Solanum lycopersicum: one gene and its partners. Each later gene encodes a partner of the first gene's protein in a complex. Links are inferred from orthologs where the notes say so. Each region holds a gene or a part of one and is shown on either strand. Other genes may lie near its edges. The genes, in order: mediator of RNA polymerase II transcription subunit 13, probable mediator of RNA polymerase II transcription subunit 26b, mediator of RNA polymerase II transcription subunit 15a, mediator of RNA polymerase II transcription subunit 21 and MED18.

The links.
Region 2: mediator of RNA polymerase II transcription subunit 13 (region 1) and probable mediator of RNA polymerase II transcription subunit 26b share a complex: the UniProt entries of both Arabidopsis thaliana proteins name them as parts of the mediator complex. The link is inferred for Solanum lycopersicum from reciprocal best matches to the Arabidopsis thaliana genes GCT and AT5G05140.
Region 3: mediator of RNA polymerase II transcription subunit 13 (region 1) and mediator of RNA polymerase II transcription subunit 15a share a complex: the UniProt entries of both Arabidopsis thaliana proteins name them as parts of the mediator complex. The link is inferred for Solanum lycopersicum from reciprocal best matches to the Arabidopsis thaliana genes GCT and NRB4.
Region 4: mediator of RNA polymerase II transcription subunit 13 (region 1) and mediator of RNA polymerase II transcription subunit 21 share a complex: the UniProt entries of both Arabidopsis thaliana proteins name them as parts of the mediator complex. The link is inferred for Solanum lycopersicum from reciprocal best matches to the Arabidopsis thaliana genes GCT and MED21.
Region 5: mediator of RNA polymerase II transcription subunit 13 (region 1) and MED18 share a complex: the UniProt entries of both Arabidopsis thaliana proteins name them as parts of the mediator complex. The link is inferred for Solanum lycopersicum from reciprocal best matches to the Arabidopsis thaliana genes GCT and AT2G22370.

Annotation. Positions count from the first base shown.
Region 1 is NC_090803.1:12,755,424-12,758,612, reverse strand, and holds the end of mediator of RNA polymerase II transcription subunit 13, read right to left. Parts: coding exon 2,815-3,189; intron 2,491-2,814; coding exon 2,119-2,490; intron 1,737-2,118; coding exon 1,126-1,736; 3' UTR 620-1,125; downstream 1-619. Other genes in the region: pentatricopeptide repeat-containing protein At2g35030, mitochondrial, read right to left, coding at 1-113. UniProt on the Arabidopsis thaliana protein: Component of the Mediator complex, a coactivator involved in the regulated transcription of nearly all RNA polymerase II-dependent genes.
Region 2 is NC_090809.1:61,265,979-61,270,089, reverse strand, and holds the start of probable mediator of RNA polymerase II transcription subunit 26b, read left to right. Parts: upstream 1-1,175; 5' UTR 1,176-2,142; coding exon 2,143-2,589; intron 2,590-3,196; coding exon 3,197-3,262; intron 3,263-3,363; coding exon 3,364-3,446; intron 3,447-4,111. UniProt on the Arabidopsis thaliana protein: Component of the Mediator complex, a coactivator involved in the regulated transcription of nearly all RNA polymerase II-dependent genes.
Region 3 is NC_090803.1:3,498,734-3,502,394, reverse strand, and holds part of mediator of RNA polymerase II transcription subunit 15a, read right to left. Parts: intron 3,351-3,661; coding exon 3,276-3,350; intron 2,828-3,275; coding exon 1,511-2,827; intron 1,424-1,510; coding exon 1,088-1,423; intron 1-1,087. UniProt on the Arabidopsis thaliana protein: Component of the Mediator complex, a coactivator involved in the regulated transcription of nearly all RNA polymerase II-dependent genes.
Region 4 is NC_090801.1:60,839,822-60,843,921, forward strand, and holds mediator of RNA polymerase II transcription subunit 21, read right to left. Parts: upstream 2,699-4,100; coding exon 2,489-2,698; intron 1,350-2,488; coding exon 1,272-1,349; intron 1,100-1,271; coding exon 1,048-1,099; intron 924-1,047; coding exon of another isoform or gene 916-923; exon of another isoform or gene 902-915; coding exon 825-901; 3' UTR 544-824; downstream 1-543. Other genes in the region: iron-sulfur cluster assembly SufBD family protein ABCI8, chloroplastic, read left to right, coding at 3,637-4,100. UniProt on the Arabidopsis thaliana protein: Component of the Mediator complex, a coactivator involved in the regulated transcription of nearly all RNA polymerase II-dependent genes.
Region 5 is NC_090805.1:1,887,926-1,892,175, reverse strand, and holds the start of MED18 (mediator of RNA polymerase II transcription subunit 18), read left to right. Parts: upstream 1-1,320; 5' UTR 1,321-1,714; intron 1,715-1,894; exon of another isoform or gene 1,895-1,968; intron 1,969-2,704; 5' UTR 2,705-2,726; coding exon 2,727-2,762; intron 2,763-2,928; coding exon 2,929-3,028; intron 3,029-4,250. Other genes in the region: ZNHIT (zinc finger HIT-type containing protein), read right to left, coding at 511-584. UniProt on the Arabidopsis thaliana protein: Component of the Mediator complex, a coactivator involved in the regulated transcription of nearly all RNA polymerase II-dependent genes.

The DNA of each region.
Region 1 (3,189 bases):
TAATGCTTTATGGATTGATTGATGAACTGAAGTTTCGTTTGAAGCTTTAAAACTGAATTGCAGAATTTGACAAAATGTCTGAGCTTTACTGGAGCAAGAAACAGCTTCAACATCTCAATCTCAAGCCTTGGCACATTGGACTATTAGATCAATTGACTAATACAAAATATAAGCTAGCTCTAGAAATCTCGAATCCAAAGCCTAGGTAAAAATTTCGAAATATTCTGATATGAATCCAAATTTAATGGTGACAACAAGTGAGACTAGTTTGCTTTTCATAATCCAACATTAGTAATGATGTGGTTGGTTACCTTATTCATACCTGCATAAATCAACTTTACAATATGCCTATGTTAATTGTCATTTTTGTTGCCCATTTGAGTTTTGAAATGGCCAAATGATCTATTTAGATAAACGAACACACATTTTAATCCACTAGTAAAGTACCGACACTTATATTAACTTTTGAAACTTGTGATCATAAAGCACTTATACGACTGCTAGAGCTAGTCATTTTTGATAAATAATATCATTATTAGTTTGAGATTGGTAGTGTTCATGCCTTCCATCTTTGTTTATATTTAGCATAAGTAAAATGAAAACAAGACCAGAGAACAGATTAGTCCCCTCAAAGAAATTAAATGGAAAATACAAAGGCAAAACTTTGCCATTTTCAAGGATTCAAAGTACAGATGACACATCATTTCTCCAAACTAGCCTAACTTGAGATCCCCATTTCCCATGCACTAAGCACTGCTATTCAGCAATTAAAAAAATGAACTAAGAGTCACAAATCTGCTGTCTAGTAAAACCATCCTGTCATCAAGTGCCTTGGAATGTTGTAAAGATAATGAGGGACTCGAGCACTTGATAGTATTTTTAGGACTAAAGAATTGTGTACTCAACTCTTTGGATCCCTGTAATAGTTTACATGACATTATGTACAAAATAAAAATCTACTATCCTACAACTACTAATTTATCCCAAGGTAACACTTCTCAGAAAGGATGTTCTCCAGCGAACTAGTATATGCATTTTGTGTTTACAGTCTGTTTCTATAACGAAACAAAGACACAAGATGGACGGCTTGAACAAGTTGTGTGTATGCTGCAATTTACACGTATCCTAAACTTGGCTTTTCACAGGTTGCCGAGAAACTTCCTTATCGGCAAAGTGAAGCAGTCTCCGAAGCCTTAATACCATGTCACAATGTAAAGGCAAAGCAGATCTTCTCTCCAAGTATGCCGGACTTACAGTCATCCATGATAAAGCATGGAGCTCTGCAGCTATGTTCTCAAGAATCAAGTGAGCTGCTATTTCAACATCTCTTGTTTCCGAACCTGTACCCCTTCCCCCAACCTTACCAACACCCTTCAAAAACTTTTCATGGATGACGTTGCTGCCACCATAGTAATCAACGAGGCTGACAGAAAGAACTGAGGGCCATTCTTCTTTTGAGATACTCCTTACATCTCTCCTCATTGTAGGTACAGCTTTTGAAACCACAAAACCTGTTGAAAGGGGAATGGCACATCCCTTGCTGTGGAGAAGATGGGCAAGTGGTGGTGATTCAGCAGTCAGGCAAGTAGGAAGCTGAAGACTGACAGGAGGTAGGAATCTCATACTGGGTGACGGAATTAGAATGTAGGAGGTGGACGTAGAACCAAGGGACTTAACTGGGGTATAACCTTCAAGATAACCTGGCTGACTCATAATGCCACTACTTTGACTTGTTCCTGCAAAATTTATACCATGCATGAATATGAAACAGAAATAACCAGGCATAAAAATGTCAACTGATGACAAATCAAAAGAAAATATTTTTTTAATGGATTCTCATATGGTAAGCCCCAACATCACCACTACCCAAAAGAAGAACCTGACACAGAAGTGCAATGGTAACCCTATCCCACTTTACTCCCTTGGTAACCCATATCCCAACGACAATTCCTTAACCTACACTATTCCTCCCTTTACTTCATATAATCTTAGTATCTCCTCTACAGCCCATATTGTAAATAAGAGAATCTAAAAGAAAGCCACAGTCAACTCTATCAGAGAACAGGTAGTCTGAAAAAAAAAACAAAAAAAGAAGAGAGGAATTGTAAGGAATTGTACCATGACTTGTCGAGTCCGCTTGAATCATAAGCTGTAAGGAATGGTCAATAGAAAGAGAGACAAAACTAATGCTTTGCACCAACTGAAGTAAGCCCCTGGAGTTGTCCACTACACCCTGTCCGCCAATTAACTGCTTCCTTGTGGATGGTTGACCTAAGCCACCTTTCATGAAAGAGGAAGCCTTTGAGTGAGAACTGTACAATGGACTAGGGGAGGAAGGAAGTGCTCTTTCTTGAATCAGACCTATTTCCTGTTGCTGCAAGGATGTCCCATTACTACTTGCAGTCATTCCATCAGGCACAGATCGCCTTAGCTGCAGAGACCATTTCTTCACCTCAGATCCCCCAATTGAATACAGGGCTTTCTGCCATTCTGCGTCCAGAAAATTGCATTAATAAGATAAGCATGATTGATAAATCAAACAGAAACTTCATTTTAGTCGCTCAAATCAAAACCAACCAAGGTTATACTTTATCAAGATATTCATCATATCCCACACAGATATATTAGAATTAAATTGTTTGTGTTCCACAGCCAAACCAAAAAATAAAAAATAAAAAAAAATAGATCAGCTAAAACTTTGTCGCAATTAAAGACGGAGACAGCAAGTCAGATTCATCAAAATTCAACACCAATGAGTATTATGATGTAACAAAAGTAGACAGTAAGCACAAGATATTGATGACAAATGTTTACCCTGGCATTCAAGCTCAAGGAAGCATCCTATACGAGCAATGACAAAATCCCTAGGCTTGGCAATGGCAGCCTCAGGTGGACATGACTGAAGGATCTGACATCCTTGTTGCAGAATTTGCACAAACAAAGATTGCAGACCTTTCGTATCCTGCCTACTACTTATTCCCCCAAATGGATATATATGATTATCAAGCAATTCTCCCCTGGAATCTGTCCATATACACACCAGCCAGCGCCAATCTTCAGTCCAACCATAACAACAATGCAGGCTTGGAAGTGATTTTTGATGTGCAGATCCAAAACCATCTGGTACAGATGTTTCAGACTGAGTGTTCAGTCCAGTGTCTCCACCACCTGAAGAAGCTGAACTCTGCA
Region 2 (4,111 bases), on another chromosome or scaffold:
ATATTTATTTAGTATTATAAATTAAATTCTTTCGAAATAGAAAGAAAATCTACTATACAACACTAGCAATAGAAATTACAAACTTCAACAAATAAAAAAAATTATATGGTACTTTTATTTACAAAATACAATGCAAAAATAAGTAATTTGTATGTTTATTAGGATTTTAAGGATAATAACATCTTTATTGAAACTCTTTTTCTAATTTTAAGTTAATCAAAGAACGAACAAGTCCTAAATAAATAATTATAATAATTTCACATAACAATAACTTGTTCATTAAAATATAAAAAGAAATATAAATTTATATATAACATATTATGATTTATAAACTACAAAAAAGGAAACAACATGAAAAAATCTAATATAACAAAGGGTGGTATAAGACTAAAACAGGAGAATTAATTTTTTAGTCCACTTGCTATTTTTAAAAAGGCAAAGATAAATTGGAGAAAATTTAAGTTAAACTTTATATAAATAAAAAATTTACCTTTTTTATTTGAAGTAAAAAAATAAAACTCCAAATGAATAATAGTATCAAATAACAATAGTTTGTCATTGAAATTTGAATTTAATATAATATTATGATATTTTTTATAAACAGACAGTATTATGATAAAAAAATTTAATGTAAATATGACATTTTATACGAATCAAACGTAATAAGACTTTTTCTTAAAAATTAAAATAAACAATGTGAATATATATTTATCCGTATTAATTAAGCATCTTATTATTTTAACAACTTATATTTCTTTTTATATAAAAATAAATCAATTAAAACATACTTTAAATATTTTTTTATTTTTTATTTTCTTACTTTTAATATATAAAAAATAACATTTTTTTCTTATTTTACCATCGATATTAATTGCTTACTCCTTGCTCATTTTTCAATATCCAAGACTATACATCATTCATCAATTAATATATTCACAACAAAATTATTATTATTATTACGAAATATATTAAAAATAGATAAATAAAAATAAATGAAGAGGATATATTATTTTGTAATTCCATAAAAAAAAACATATATAAAAAAAGAAAACTACTTCAAAGCAAAGAGATAAATCACTTCCTTAACTTGAAAATAAAAATCATTTCCTTTCAGATTTTTCTTTTATTGTTTTTCTATATTATGTCACTATATTTATTTATTTCTTATCATCCTTCTTTGAACTGAACACAGTTAAAAATAGTTTTTCTATGTCAAAGAGATATGAATAAAATCTATATCCATATCATTTCTTTAAACTTTACTTATGAACCTATATCAAATATGTTATTCTCATCGTTATCGTTGTCATCATCAAAGTTATCCTTATGAATTTCATCCATAAAAGAAGTTTTCAAAATCCAATTTCCATTCTATATACATATCAGAATTCGATTAGTTCAAATTTCACACTTATTCATACTTAAAATATATATTTTATATACTGACAATCTCTCGAGTTAAAAATGAAGGAATCAGAACCATCTCACCACGATCCATGCTAATGACCGAAGAAAATTGATCCTTATCACCTACCCCTAACCCCTACCCCCCACCCCCAACAGAGAAAAAACAATATTTTTTCTTCCTCTCTCTCGTGTCTCTTTGAACCAGCACCTTGTATTGCTTTTTTTTTTACAGAGAGAGAAATATAATTAAAATAATAAAAGATAGCTAGAGAGAGAAAATCTTCTATACTTTTTTTTTAACATATATTCTTTTTCTCTGGAAAAATTTCTTTCAATCGGAATAATTTTTTCTAGATTTCTCTTCTTATATCTCACCAAAAACTTAATCGGATTTTTATTTAATTTTTTTAATTTTGTTTTGTCATTTTGGGTTTATAGAGTTTCTATCATATGGATTTTTCCTAAAAAAAAAGCATAAAAATCTGTATCCGATTGCATTTTGCAGAACTGAATCGCCGGTGACACTGATTATTCAGTTTCCGATCATCGGAAAAAGTACCTAATCGGAAAACCAGAGGTTTTTATTGCTAAAAACCTTGTTTCCGATTAGAATTTGTATGATTTTCTTGTGGGTATAATTAAAATCGGATAAAGATTGAATTTGTATATTTGGGTATTGATAAATAATTGATTTTACGATCTGGGTTGATTTGTTTTTGCTCTGAATCATCAGTTATGGCGAAGAGTAGTGGGACTTTGGATAAATGGAGGGACTATTTTCGTACTGCAAATTCGGATATATTTGATATAATTGAGTATGCAGTGATGGTTGCTGCTGTTGATTGTCCAAAGGAATTTAAAATGAGAAGGGATAGAATTGCTGAAATGTTGTTTACATGTAAAGTTACTATGTGTTTTGGTTGTGAGAAAGTTGATTTAGCTGTACCAATTGCTGGTAATGATGATGAAGGAAAAATTAAGAGTAAGGATGAGTTTGGTGGTAGTAAAGAGAGCAAAGTTAACAGTAGGATAGATCATCATGATGTTGAGATGAATGTGAATCAAGTTAGCAATTATAGTTATGGAGAAGCTGAGGCATTAACTGAGGAAATGGAGGAAGAGACTCAGACTTTTGGGGAGGTGATGAGGATCAAAGATGTCATTGATAACAACCAAGCTGAGGTTCATTTCATCTCTATTGAATTTTGGTTATACTGTTGATTTGAAGTATTTTGCTGTGTTTGGATTTGTTCAGTCAAGAATTGGTGGACTCTGTGTATGTGAATTTGAAGTTTGTGTACTTTTGGGGTTGATCAAGAAGAAAATCTTGATAATTGAGCTTAAATGTTGTTAAATTTTTGGAGTTTCTGGTGTTGTATGACATATAACAATGGTTACTTTTATGGTTGAATTTAATGATTTGAAATTTCTGTTCTTGTGGGGTTGATCAGGAAGAAGAATCTTGATAATTGAGCTAATGTTGTAAGATTTTAGAACTTTTGTGGTTGAATTTGATGGTGATTCTATTTTCTCTACTAGTGTCTATAACTGGAAAATCTGATATGAGGTTGTTTTCATGTCACAGTTAGGAAACCTTTATGCTTTTCATTTCCTTTTTGCCCCCTTTTTGTTCCTTTGATCTAGTTGTACAAGGATGTTGCTTTCTTTAGCTTTAAAACAATGTATGAAGCTACTTTTAAACTCTTTATATCTTTTGCTATTTCACTTGCTTGGTAGTTTTGAGCTTTCCTCTAGTAATCGGGTTTTGAGTTATTGTTCTTTTTGACAGTCTGCAGAGTTGTTTGAGTGCTTAAGAAGGCTTCAACTAATGGCTTTGTCTGTGGAGACTTTAAAGGTTTGATCTTTTGACGCTTCCAAAATTTCATCTTCCATTTATTGTGGTTACTGTTTTTTAAATTTATTCTGGATGGACATAATTGATTGCTTCTATATCAGGCCACAGAGATTGGAAAGTCGGTTAATTCTCTCAGAAAGCACAACTCAAAGGATGTTCGGCATCTATCTCGGACATTGATTGAGTAAGTAACTCTTGCTTTATTGCTGAAATAACTGTAAGAATGTCGTCAAAATATGTATGCACAACACAGTTCTAGTAGTCTGATCCGGGGTATCTTTAATGTGGCTGAATTTGTTTTATCGCAAAGGTTTGAACTTTTGTCTTCGAGTTGAACTAACATGTCGTATTGGTGGCTCTGGCAGCTTGCTTTGTCGGTTGTAGTTTTGAAGCTATTATTACTTTTTAACGCTTGCAACTGTTTGTCGCTTACCGTTTATCTTTACCGTAAAATTAAGATTTCATCATAACTCAATCATCAATGCATACTAATGATGGTGATTGCTTCATTTATCGAGTGCTGAATTTGTTTTTATCGCAAAGGTTTGATCTTTTGTCTTTGAGTTGAACTAACATGTCTTTTTGGCGGCTCTGGCAGCTTGCTTTGTCGGTTGTAGTTTTGAGCTATTATTACTTCTTAACGCTTGCCACTGTTTGTCGCTTACCGTTTTTCTTTAATTGATGTTATCTTTAATGAAGATTCCATCATAACTCAATCATCGATGCATACTAATGATGGTCATTGCTTTATTTATCGAGTGCTGAATTTGTTTTTATCGCAAAGGTTTGAACTTTTGTCTACGAGTTAACTAACATGTTGTATTGGCGGCTCTGGCAGCTTGCTTTGTC
Region 3 (3,661 bases), about 9.3 Mb from region 1:
CTATTGCCCTGTATCCTGCCAAAGCTTGGAATGTTTTCACTTAGCATTTCTGCTTTTCCTGTTGAACAAATTTACTCGTCTGGAAATGCGAAACTCTATCATATGATTAGGTGGGATTCAAGTGATTCACATTGTTTATAGTAACACAAAAAAGGTAGGGTGAATCCAGGCATAAAAAAAAACCCAATATGAAAATGCAAGGACCAAGTGTTTTGGGTCAATCTAAATGCTAAAGAGCCTAGCAATAAATTGAGGAGCAGTTGGGAATTCAAGTCAAAATAGTTCATAGATAGGGTTTTAGTTCACCACTAGAATATATTCACACGCTAGTTGCTACAAAAGGGATAATATTGAAACCATATAGAAAGAAGGCGTATTTTTATTGTTTCCGTATAGATTTGTACTGAGTGCTGCTCAGGCACAGTAAGGCTGAGGGACACTTAAGAGCCGGGAAGTTTGTGGTAGGGATTGGGCATTATCATATGTTGAATAAGTAGACACTGAATGACAGTCTGGTACAAAGACTGAGCAGCCAATTGAAAGTCTCAGGTTGCATATAGCATTCAATAAAATGCATTTGTCTTTATTCTAGACAGTCGTCTTATACTTAGTTCAGATTATTTAGACATACTCACAAGCTGAAAGAGTACTAAAGAAGTAAAACTCATGTCTCGTTCACATAAAGTAATGTTTGATTTTTCCATACAATATTCTATCATAGCCATCAAAGTTTTCAGAACAGAACTATAAGTGGTAGTTTGGGGTTGATGATGTTCCAGTTGCAGAAACATAATCAATAAAAATGAAAGAGCAGGCACAAGGAATGATTGTTAAAAACCACTCTGAGTCGAGTTTCAGTTTGCATGCAAGCTGAAACTTCAAGAAATATTCCACCATATTGCATTTGGTCATTCTACTCTCTCTCTAGCAGTCATGGACAAAGATCAGTTTTTACTTTTTTAACTCTAAAATGCACCTGAATGGACCTCCTTTTTCTTTTAAGAACCAATATAGTCTACCACGGAGCTCTCATGTTTGGACGTGCAGTTTTGTACTTTTATCCTGTAAGTAGGCAGCAGAAAATTACCTCTATTTTAGGTCTTTTGGCATTGGATGTTGCTGTTGACTCTAACTCAGGTGTTTCAGAATAATTCACCTGCCAGAAACTATCATTCAAACTGCTGCTTGACGACACAACGTTGGAAGTTGTATATCGCTTCATTTTCTTTGTTCCTGTAGGTCCATCCTGCGTAAAGTAGTTTCTCGCTTGGAGACGACATTTGGTCATGGCAACCAAATCTTCGCCAACAGCTGCTCTTGACCCATTTCCTGGAGCAGATCCTGCTATTCTATCATTCATACTGACAACTGAATAGATGTCTTGAACTGACGACTGCAATGCTTTGTCAGACATGTTTTTAACCTGAATGTAATAAACAAGTCAAATCAATGAAGACAGATTATTGGGATTAGTGAAGATACAAATTAAGTAGAATGGTATAATACAAACCGCTCTCATCAAGCGATCCAATGGTTGTTCAACACTTGACCTGCCAGGAACAGCAGCTGAGACATTGGCATGTGTACCATCTAGAGGAGTAAACTCAGCAAGCAAAGGTGAGGCTGATATCCCAGGAGTACCAATTGCAAGGGATTGGGCAGGTGCAGAAGCAACAGTAGCTTGCTGATGCATTATATTTCCAGCAGTGGTATGTGATCCAAGGCCAGCACCAACTTTTTCAGAATCTCCCGGCATTGGAGATGGAGCCAAGGGAGTTGAAGGAGAAGGGACAACAAACGGTGAGCTTGCGGATTGGAGAGGAGTCCCAGCTTTTGTAAGAGACGCCAACATATTTTGTTGGTCAATTTGTGGAGAAGGATGTTGGGTAACCTGAGGAGACAGTGCTTGATGGAGTTGAGGTGAAGATATTCCTGGCTTCAATTGGGGATGATGAGATCCAACACGCTGGCCAACTGACTGTTGCTGTAAAACTCCTGGTTTTATCCCCATTTGCTGCCTTATCTTTAGGTCATTAGCATCAGTCATCTGTTGAAGCTGAGACATCTGGTGGGTTGGCAACAGCGTGGTCTGCTGTTGCTTCGCTTGCTGCTGTTGTATTATCTGCTGTCTTTGAAAAAGTTGCTGCTGCATATGCCTATGGTGGTATTGCTGTCTTAATTGCTGGTTCTGCAACATTTGCTGCTCGTGCTGCTTAGGAAGTGACTGTTGCAGGGCGTTTGAATTTTGCTGTAGGGAACCGAGGTTTGCCTGTACGGGGTTTGTTCCACTTTGTGAGCTTAATGAGCTCATGTTAACTTGTTGAGGACTGTTAACAGGATTCTGTTGTAAAGAGCCAGTAGCCACCTGCTGCAGTGAGTTCAATGAATTACCCTGTCCCAAATCCACAGTGGAACCAGGCTGTACTGTATTTATCATGTGCTGCTGGGAGTTGGAAATTGTCGGTACACCAGACAAGGTATTATGTTGCAAGTTGGTGAGATTATTCTGAGGCATTGCTGCCATGGAACCCTGTGAGGGTTGCATCGACGGATTAGATTGACCATCAAGAGATGGTGGTTGCTGAAGCTGCATGGAAGACTGAGGAAGCTGTCCCTGCAGTGGAGAAGAAGAAGGCTTGCTGCGCGGCCTATTGGAACTAAGAAAGAAACTTATGTGCTTCTCAACCGAAGCCAACTTTTCCTTGTGAGAAAGTTGAATATCCTGCTTGTTAAGCCGCAAGAAAAGCACAATGCGTTCCAGCGTGATCTTGAACATCTTGAGCTTTTCAATTTGCTCATTTTGAGGACGCTGAGGAAGAGAATCATGCTTAAAATCAGGAAAAAAAAATCAGTTTAGTCAAAGTCTTGTTTCTTGCCCTTTGCAAACTTTTAAAATTCATGCTTCAAGTACACCTCCCTCCCACAGCAAAGAAAAAGGGAGAAAAACTTAAAACCAACATAAAGAGACAAATAACATAGTGGCCAGGTGCCCAATTCAACAGAATGCTGACTTAAGCGCTCTTAAAATTTAGACAAATCAAGCCCTTGCCCGAAGAATTAGGGAGGCCTTGAACCCTTCCCCAAGGGAACATAAAAGTGGCATCTACATCACAGTATTCACCTAGATATGTGTAAATAGCTCATTTTATGGTGTCCTCCACCTCTACTTTACAATCATACACAACGCTTCAACACAGGCAAACATGCTGCACCATACATAGCTAGTAGAATTGCTCCAAAAATGATAAGAATGGATTAAAATGTTGATGACATACCTGTTGCACTTTAGAAGCAATTTTGTGGTATAGATCATTGAGCTCTGCTAAGTACGACTCCTTCATAGACTTTATCTGCATTAAAAATTTGCATCAGCTCAGAATTGCGCAAATGTCAAGACTGCATTCCCATATGGAGAGGTAATAATTAGATCAACTTTCCGATACAGTAGAGAACAAACTAGAGAATCCTCATGAAAGAACCTTCCAGATAAAAAGTTAAAAGTGAAGTGGAAGCGGAAGACTAAAACTCATTAAAGAATCCATTTTGCATGATTCAACATGTGAATGAAAAAATAAACAACTGAACTTTGCTTCCTTCAGCTTCTTGGTACACGTTTCTGCTCGGTGCTAACAGCAAGGGTCTAGTTCCAAGATGTGATAAT
Region 4 (4,100 bases), on another chromosome or scaffold:
GATTTCCGTGATAGTTTTATTTTGATAAAAATGTCTTATGTATTGTAGTCTTCAATACGTCTCCTGCGTTAGTTTCTTCATTCATGTATTGATGCCAATTGTCATATGACGTGGTTGAGTCCTTCTACCAGTCATAGTTGGACCCACGTTCTATCTAAATTTTAGCATTCAACAAACCCCGATGGCTGTAAATTCTTCTCTTCGTTGCTGTCACGCTTACATATTAGGCAGACAAGGTTTTCTATATATTTTGTGTGGTTGCTACTTGTTTTCGGCCACGCCTCAGTTCCAGCACGACAAGAAAATATTCTGGCGATATGCAATCTAAACTCCCAAAGTACCCAGACACAGCCCAAAATGTGTCTACGAATTAAAATCATCAACTCGGTAGGGTAGTTGTGCATGCCAGCTGCCATGTTTTGGGATCACATGTTTACGAAGTCAGTCTGATAATTGCATAACTTTTGACAAGTGCTGGAGCAGAGAAACTAGCCAACTTCTAAATTGAACACGTGGCACAGAAGACACTAATATTTAAGGATGTGGAGACAAAAAAACTGCTGATTTTTGCTATTTAGGCACATTATCCCTACCTCTTTTCATTCTATAAACACAGCTCTAAACCAGATACAATAGTATACTGAATTCTTTTCTTCAGCAGTGGCCAAGAACTTAAAAAAAAAATAATGTCAGAGCATGCCTAATTATAATTAGTTAATAAATGTACCCATAACAGACATGGACACAATCAATTTGTTGTTCCTCCAGGGTATATTCCAGCAAGAATGGGCTCCTCAAGCAAACTGAAATATCTACTACCTTATTCATTCTGGCTTCTTCAAGTTCAGGCAGTTATCTGTTGCTTGGTTAAACAACTCCTGGACCTGCTTTAGCTCCTTCTCTAAATCACCAAAATCAGCAAACTGAGTCTCAGAATAAACAAAAAATTAATAATACAGACAGGAAAACGGAAATTTGGACCTTAGCCTAATCAGAACAGCTTCCACTATCTTTCAGAAAGAAAGCAAGGGAAAAACAAACTCTTACCTGCAGCTTCCAGTTGTTTTTGAAGTTCTTGGCCAACTGCATCGTTCTCAGCCTACATCACATACATACACAACCGAGTAAGACTACTAAGCCCAAAATAGACAGACTAATCTTTATTTATCCTTCTTTATTTTTTTAGTTTAAATACTGTTAAGCTATAACACATCAGAATTAGAGGATGTCAAAAAGTGAATTCCACCAATTATTCACAAAGAAGCATATACCTGGAGTTCTGCAATTCTTTTCAATTGGGCTTCTTCACTCCCATCCGATAAAGGAAGAGCAGCAACCAACACATCGAACTGCTCAAAGAAGGATAAGAAAAAGAGAAGATAGATTTAATACAATGACATTGTAGCAAAGCATACACTTTAGGATCACAATGAAAATTTGCAATTGGTCTGAATTAGAGCCACACAATCCTCAAGGCTACTCTCAAGTGTCGGCTGTGCTGCTTAAGTTTGATAGGATGCTAGATTAGACAACCTCTGATTGTGAGGCCAAGAAGAAAACAAGGGAAACATAACTGTAAACTTGAACACCTTAGAACTAATCACAGGGTTGTCCATATACATTTCATAGAAGACAGCTAAAGGGCGATAAACTAGAACTCAGTTTTCCGGTTTTGACACCAGGTTTACCCGGTGAGTCTTGGCCTAGATGTCATGGTTACCAAACCTGAGAGGCTGACATCAAGTTCTCTAGTAAAAATCCCTAGAGGCATGCAATCCTGTCCAGCTAGTAGTTGGAATTTGTCCGCCATTATGTGATTCAGTCAAGTTTTATTGAAGTAGTTGGTGATGCTAATAGCATTATTGTATTTCTCGTTAAACTAAGGACAAAAGACTAGGTATTTGAACTCAACCACACTGGTCTCAGGAATCAGGACTAAGGTCTTTGAACTCAACCACGCAGGTCTCAAGTCTGAACAAACAAAGACTTAATATCATCTGGTATAGAACTGCATGTACGCATTAGATATGATGAGCCAAGATACAACTTAGTGTTATCTTGTATAGAACTGCACAAACACATCATATATCTAAAGATTTGACGTTTCCAAAAGTAAACATACTAGTCAAAAGAAGACAAAAGAAACATTATTTTGTCCAAAAATGATTTTTTGAAGGAATGGTAAGTGCATTTGTAATACAGCACCAAGAAGGTGCAATCAACAACATTTACAGGGAACACAAAGATATACCTTCCTATTCTTAAAGGGATTCTACAAGTTCAATCACTTATTCAGGCTCATTTACAAAAAAAATGTCTACACAAAAAAGGAAACTAAACTAAATAGTTTATCTTGATCTTCCGAAAAAAGAGAAAATTCCCTATTCTCGAAGTACACGCAGATTACTTTTATACCCTGGTCTGTGGCTTGTTCATATTCGTTGATGAATAAGCAGAAAAAGTGAAGGTATGGAGTATGGAGTTTCACCTGCTTGGCAGCCTTAACAAAAGCAGCACTCATTTGCTTTGGTTGTTCTGCAACATTAGCTGAGTCTTCTGTGGGATTAGCAGGTGGAGGTTCTGGATAATTAGGTGATAGACGCACAGGAGGGGCGTCCCTCTGAAGAGTACCAAAGGTGTTGAAAGCAAGAGCTGCAATTGTATTTACTTGTTCCTGTAACTGTGATATGATATCCATCTTCCAAATCCTTCCCTTTATTGCTAACAAAAATGGTGAATTTTGAGAAAAGATCGAACAAAGGAATAGAAAACAGAGGAGAAGAACTTACCTGAAAACCCTAGAATTGGAGGTCCGGGTAGAGCCGAAGTAGATTCGATAATCTGTTACAATTGTTTTAAAATTAGACCTAAAATTAACCATTATTTCAATTAAATTTTACGAAAAATGCTCAAAAATATTTCTGAATTATCCGAATTAGCTCACATATATCTTTAAATTAAATTCTAGCCCTTCTATTAAAGTATTGAGTTATTTTTACCCTTAATTTTAACAAAGGTGTGTTAAGTGTCACCTGAACGCCACGTGGACACCATATGGATGCCACATGAGCACCAAAAAACATCATCTCCATGTAGACTCATAAATCTTAATTATTAATTTTTTTCTCATTTTCATTCATTTTACTTCTCTAAAACATAATACGATTTCCCTTTTTTTTTCTTAGACGATTTTCTCTCTTATACGATTTTCCCCAGGATTTTACAAATTTCTCTTATGAACGCCATTGAATTTCTGAGTAAATTTCGTCACTTTCTGAGTTTCACCGTTCTTATAGATAATGCACAAACACCAGTCCTAATTTGTAAAGTAACATGCACAAACACCAGTCATAACTCTTCACATTTACTTGTTTTTATTTTAAACCTTTCAACATAAAGTCTGACTTTATCATTATCAAGTGAGCGCTTAAATGACATAAAATGCAACAAAAATAATTTAGCTTTACTATTTTTTTTAATTGTTTTTTTTTTGTTGTTGTAATTTAGGCTTTGAAAAGATGCACGTGGTCAGCATACGACATCTTAGATCAGACACCACAAAAAATTAAAAAAGAAACAAATAAAATTTATGTTTGCCTTCTCATCCTGCTTCTTTCTATCTTCTAAGCATCAACTATGGCTTCTCTTCTCACCAACGGAATCTCACACTTCTGTCCTCAATCCATCGCTGAGCAGCCTAAACTCCCAAAAGGGTATAACTTTTTGCCTAATTCACCCGGCCCCAAAATCTCAAATCCAGGTAATTTCAAGATTAAAGCTGCTGATGCGAAGGCCACTGTTGAAGTTCCAGGTAAAGAATCATCTTTATCAATCTCAAATGAAGGCGACCCACTTCAGAAATTCTTGAAAAGAGACTATAAATGGGGTTTTAATGAAAATATTGAATCTTTTGCGCTGCCAAAAGGGCTTTCGGAGGATACTATTAGGTTAATTTCATCAAGAAAGAATGAGCCTGAATGGATGCTTGAGTATAGATTGAAATCGTATGAGAAATTTGTTAAAATGAAAGAGCCGAAATGGTCTGATAATCAGTACCCAGAAATTGATTTTCAGAATATTTGTTATTATTCAGAACCTAA
Region 5 (4,250 bases), on another chromosome or scaffold:
TTCTTTGCGACAAATTTATGTATAAAAATATGCACTTTAGAAATCCGCATATAACTAATACAAATATAAGTTATGAGAAAAATTTGTGTATTTATTCTATGCCTGACATAAGATAGATAACTGACAGTTGCATAATTCTAACCGGCTCCCAAACGACACCTAAGGTTCTTTGCAATGATTTCAATGTATAAAAGTCCGCAATTTAGAAAGCTACATGACTAATACATATATAAGCTACGAAGAAATTTATATATTATTTTATGCCGGACATAAAAAATAACTGCATAATTCTAACTAGTTACCAAACGAAACCTAAGTTTCTTATCAACAAATTCATATCTCTATTTGCTACAATTATGATGTTTTTCTACATATAAAAATTTTTACTCTGAATTTTGTATGAATAATCTATATCCATTCCCCTTCAGTTTAAACTAAAAACAAACTCAAAACCCAGAATTAAAATTCAAATAAATTTCAAAGAATGAAAAAAGATGGAAATATAATTACAAGGGGATGAAGCAATTGGGACACTTGTATCTCGACTGTGCTTCATCACATACTTGACATTTTTTCGATCCCATTATTTCTTCTTCTTCTTCGTTATCGAGGTTTTAGGGTTTTTTCTGGAAGAGGTGGAATGTAAAATTGCAATATTGGTCCCTGAATTTTGAGTTTAGATTCAATCGGGTTCTTACAATTTTATCAAATTATACTTTGAGTCGCTTAATTAATTATGGGCCTAAACTCGAATTCGGGTCCAAAATTTTCAAACCATTTTCTCTTCTGCTAAGTACCACTTTTCTCTAATAATTCTACGAGATACTCGTCACTTTCTATAATAATCATTTTTCGTAAAAGGAATCAAATCATTTTATTCATTTATATAGAAAGAATTTTGCAATAATTAATTTTCGTAAAAAGTATCAAATTATTTTATCCATTCATATAGAAAGAATTTCGTGTTATCAATTTTCGTAAAAGGTATCAAAATCATTTTATCAAAGAATTTCGTAATAATCAATTTTTCGTATAAGGTATCAAATTATTTTATCCATTCCTATAGAAAGAATCCATTAATATTTTTTAATTAATTATATAAGATACTAATCAAATTTTCGTAACAGACATTTATCCACTCGTATGAAAAGAATCCGCTAATATTTTCAATTGATTCTACGAGATACTTGTCACTTTTCGCAATAGGTATTATTCCAACCCTATGTCTTGAGTTTCGACTTTTTTGATATTTTCGACCACTTCATTGAGCACTAAATCACCATATTATCTCTGTTACTGCTAATTGTTTTGGTTTCTCTCAGCCATAGCTTGCATTACTAAACCTTAATTTTACAATTGATCGTAGAAACATATTTTTCTTGCTAGAAAAAATCTCTCTTTGGCTCGTTTTTACTGTTGATTTTTTGTTATGTGATTAATTGGACCTTGTTTGATGTAGAAACCTAGATTTTTTTGTTACAATTGGACCTTGTTTGATGTAGAAAACTGGATTTTTTGTTACAATTGGACCTTGTTTGATATAGAAACCTAGATTTCTAGCTAGAATTTTTTTTTCTTTGGCTCGTTGTTATCGTTGATTTTTTGTTATGTGATTAATTTAGGTCTGCCTGTTTAAGCTTTCGAACTATTTTTTTTAATTGAATTTTTGCAGCTCAGATTGGGGGAAAAAGTGAGATTGCTTCAACTGTTCAAGGTAATTCTTTCAATTTTTTGCTCTGATGTTTTATGTTTAGTTCTACAATGCTAAATGATTGTGTTTTATATGTCATACAATAGTGTGTATAGATGATAAAATTTGGAGTTTGATGTAGAAACTTTGAAAAAACAGATGTATAACAATAAAGATATGTTAAACAAAGATCAAATTGTACAGGCACTAGAAAAATCATATTTTGATGCCAAAATAGTCGAAAAAAACCAAAGGCAACATATACCATATAGTCCAAGGTATTGTCTTTTCTTCACCCATTCTTCTCCTTTTCCATTTTCTCTTTCTTTCCTCCATTTTTGTAGTCATTCGTTGTTTTTGCTGAGCACATGCTCCATCATATAACAATGACAACAACATACCTTGTGAAATCCCACAAGTGGACTATGGGGAGGATAGAATGTATATATGTTGTTGTACGTATGTAGAAAATATTTGCCAAACAGGAGTTAAGCTATGTGTCCAAGTGACTAATTTTCCACATGAAAAGAATCACCCATGGTGGAGTGACTTCATTGATAAAACTTGATACCATTCCAGCACTACTACCTATTTCTTTGAAGAAACTTAGTAAAACTTAAGGTTGTTTGGTCATAGCCTAATGAAAGGAGCAAGTTTGACAGTTTTTGGTGCATATTGGATCATTAGAAGTTTCATGCTTAAAATCTTGGTGAGAATTTGGGTGTACCAAAAGACAAGTAATGACCAAATGCTTAAATTTCTAATTATGGATGGAAAAGGCAATAATTGAAGACCACCCCAAAATAGGGGCAATCCGGGCAAAAACTTTAAGCCTCAATCCAAAACTAAATTCATATTAAGATCCATTAATCTTCAAGCAATGCACTTCTCATACAAAGAGTGTCAACTTTGTTATGATTTTGGTTAGGTGTTAGCTTTTTCGTTGTTACTCTTCTGTTAAACTTAATATCTTTTTGGTTCATAGGTATGTTCTAAAGAGTTCTTTGCATGTAGGTTTGAATAAATTGAAGTGCGAATGGAGTGTGTGGTTCAGGGAATTATTGAGACTCAAGTAAGTTCCTGGAGTAATGATAAAACCTCCCCCTATTTCTCGTTTTTTTCTTATTCAATCTTTTAGAAGGTATGCTACTTGTAAAAGGTATACTACGGCATTTACTGAAACAGTTTTTGGCAATTGATTATTGAAAAGATCTTGACAGTGCTAATCATACTTGCAGCATGTCGAGGCCCTGGAAATTCTGCTTCAAGGGCTTTGTGGTGTACATAAACAAAGCTTAAGGATTCATGAACTGTGCCTTAAAAGTGTCCCTAACCTAGGTAAGTGTATTTTCTCTTTGAACTATTATGGAACTAGGAACTAACCCAATGGTCATGTATGTACTGATGTGGCTGAGGCAAATGCTCACAACCATCTATGCATTCGTAGGGAGGTTTTCTCACCTTTGAGTTTGTACATAGCTGATAATTTTTTTATGGTCCATCTTATTCTAGTTGTACTGTGGTGCTGCATGTCAATTATTGAATGGAATTAGGTTCAAGTATGATTCACTTTCAGTACATCTAATTTATAGGTCGAGACCACATGGTTTTTGCTCATTCACTTGTTGACTGTTGAGTGCCTTGTTTTCAACAAAGTGTTGCCTATCATGGTTTTGTCGATGATACAGATGTGATTCTCTGCGATGATGTACATGTGATTCTTTGACATGTTGATGAGGGTAACGTCGGAGTATTAAAACAATGCTTGTTTCCTGTTAAAGATAGTATGGCAGATGTTGATCCCACAAGGATTGAGTTTCTGCTATCCTAATTAGTGTTGCTCAATTACTATTCGAGTAATCAGATAAGCAGGCGGAATGTTTTTGACTAAAATGAAATATAAATAAGAGTTCTATGACATGAATGATGGTGAAAGAGTATCCATCAGTTCATTAAACGAGTTGAATATAGACTTTTTTGTTCTAATCAGAAGGAGTTGAATCTAGACTTCACTTATGATTAGTGTATGGTGTTCACTGTCCACCAATCAATATTGATCTCTAAGTTATAAGTGCCTCTCTCTATTACACTCAACATTGATTATTCCTCTCGCTTGTAGTAATATCTAAGGAAATAGAAAACCTTAAATTCAGAGCACCTTCAGCTAATCACCTTCCAAATCACTGGTGTATATCTCGATTACATCTAACTACTATAACCTTCTTGGCTAAGTGTATTTCTTTTTATTATAATAGTCAAGGTATTATTATACCTTAAATATGGAAGACGGTTGATTAATTAACCTTGGCTCCCACAAATATATGTTGACCCCTTGTGGTTGTCTACGCATTTGTCATATCATCATCACAATTCATAAAGTATGTTGAAGACTGATTTCTCCTCTTGGTTAGACAAGGAAAAAAAGCAAACTATGATCATTCAAACGTAATTGGGAAAATAATGGAGTCCAGTGACCTCTCTAGATCAGAAGTTTGAATTGCAGAACAAATGGTTTGAATCAAATTAATAATTGTAGTTAGAGAATTAATTTATAAGAGTT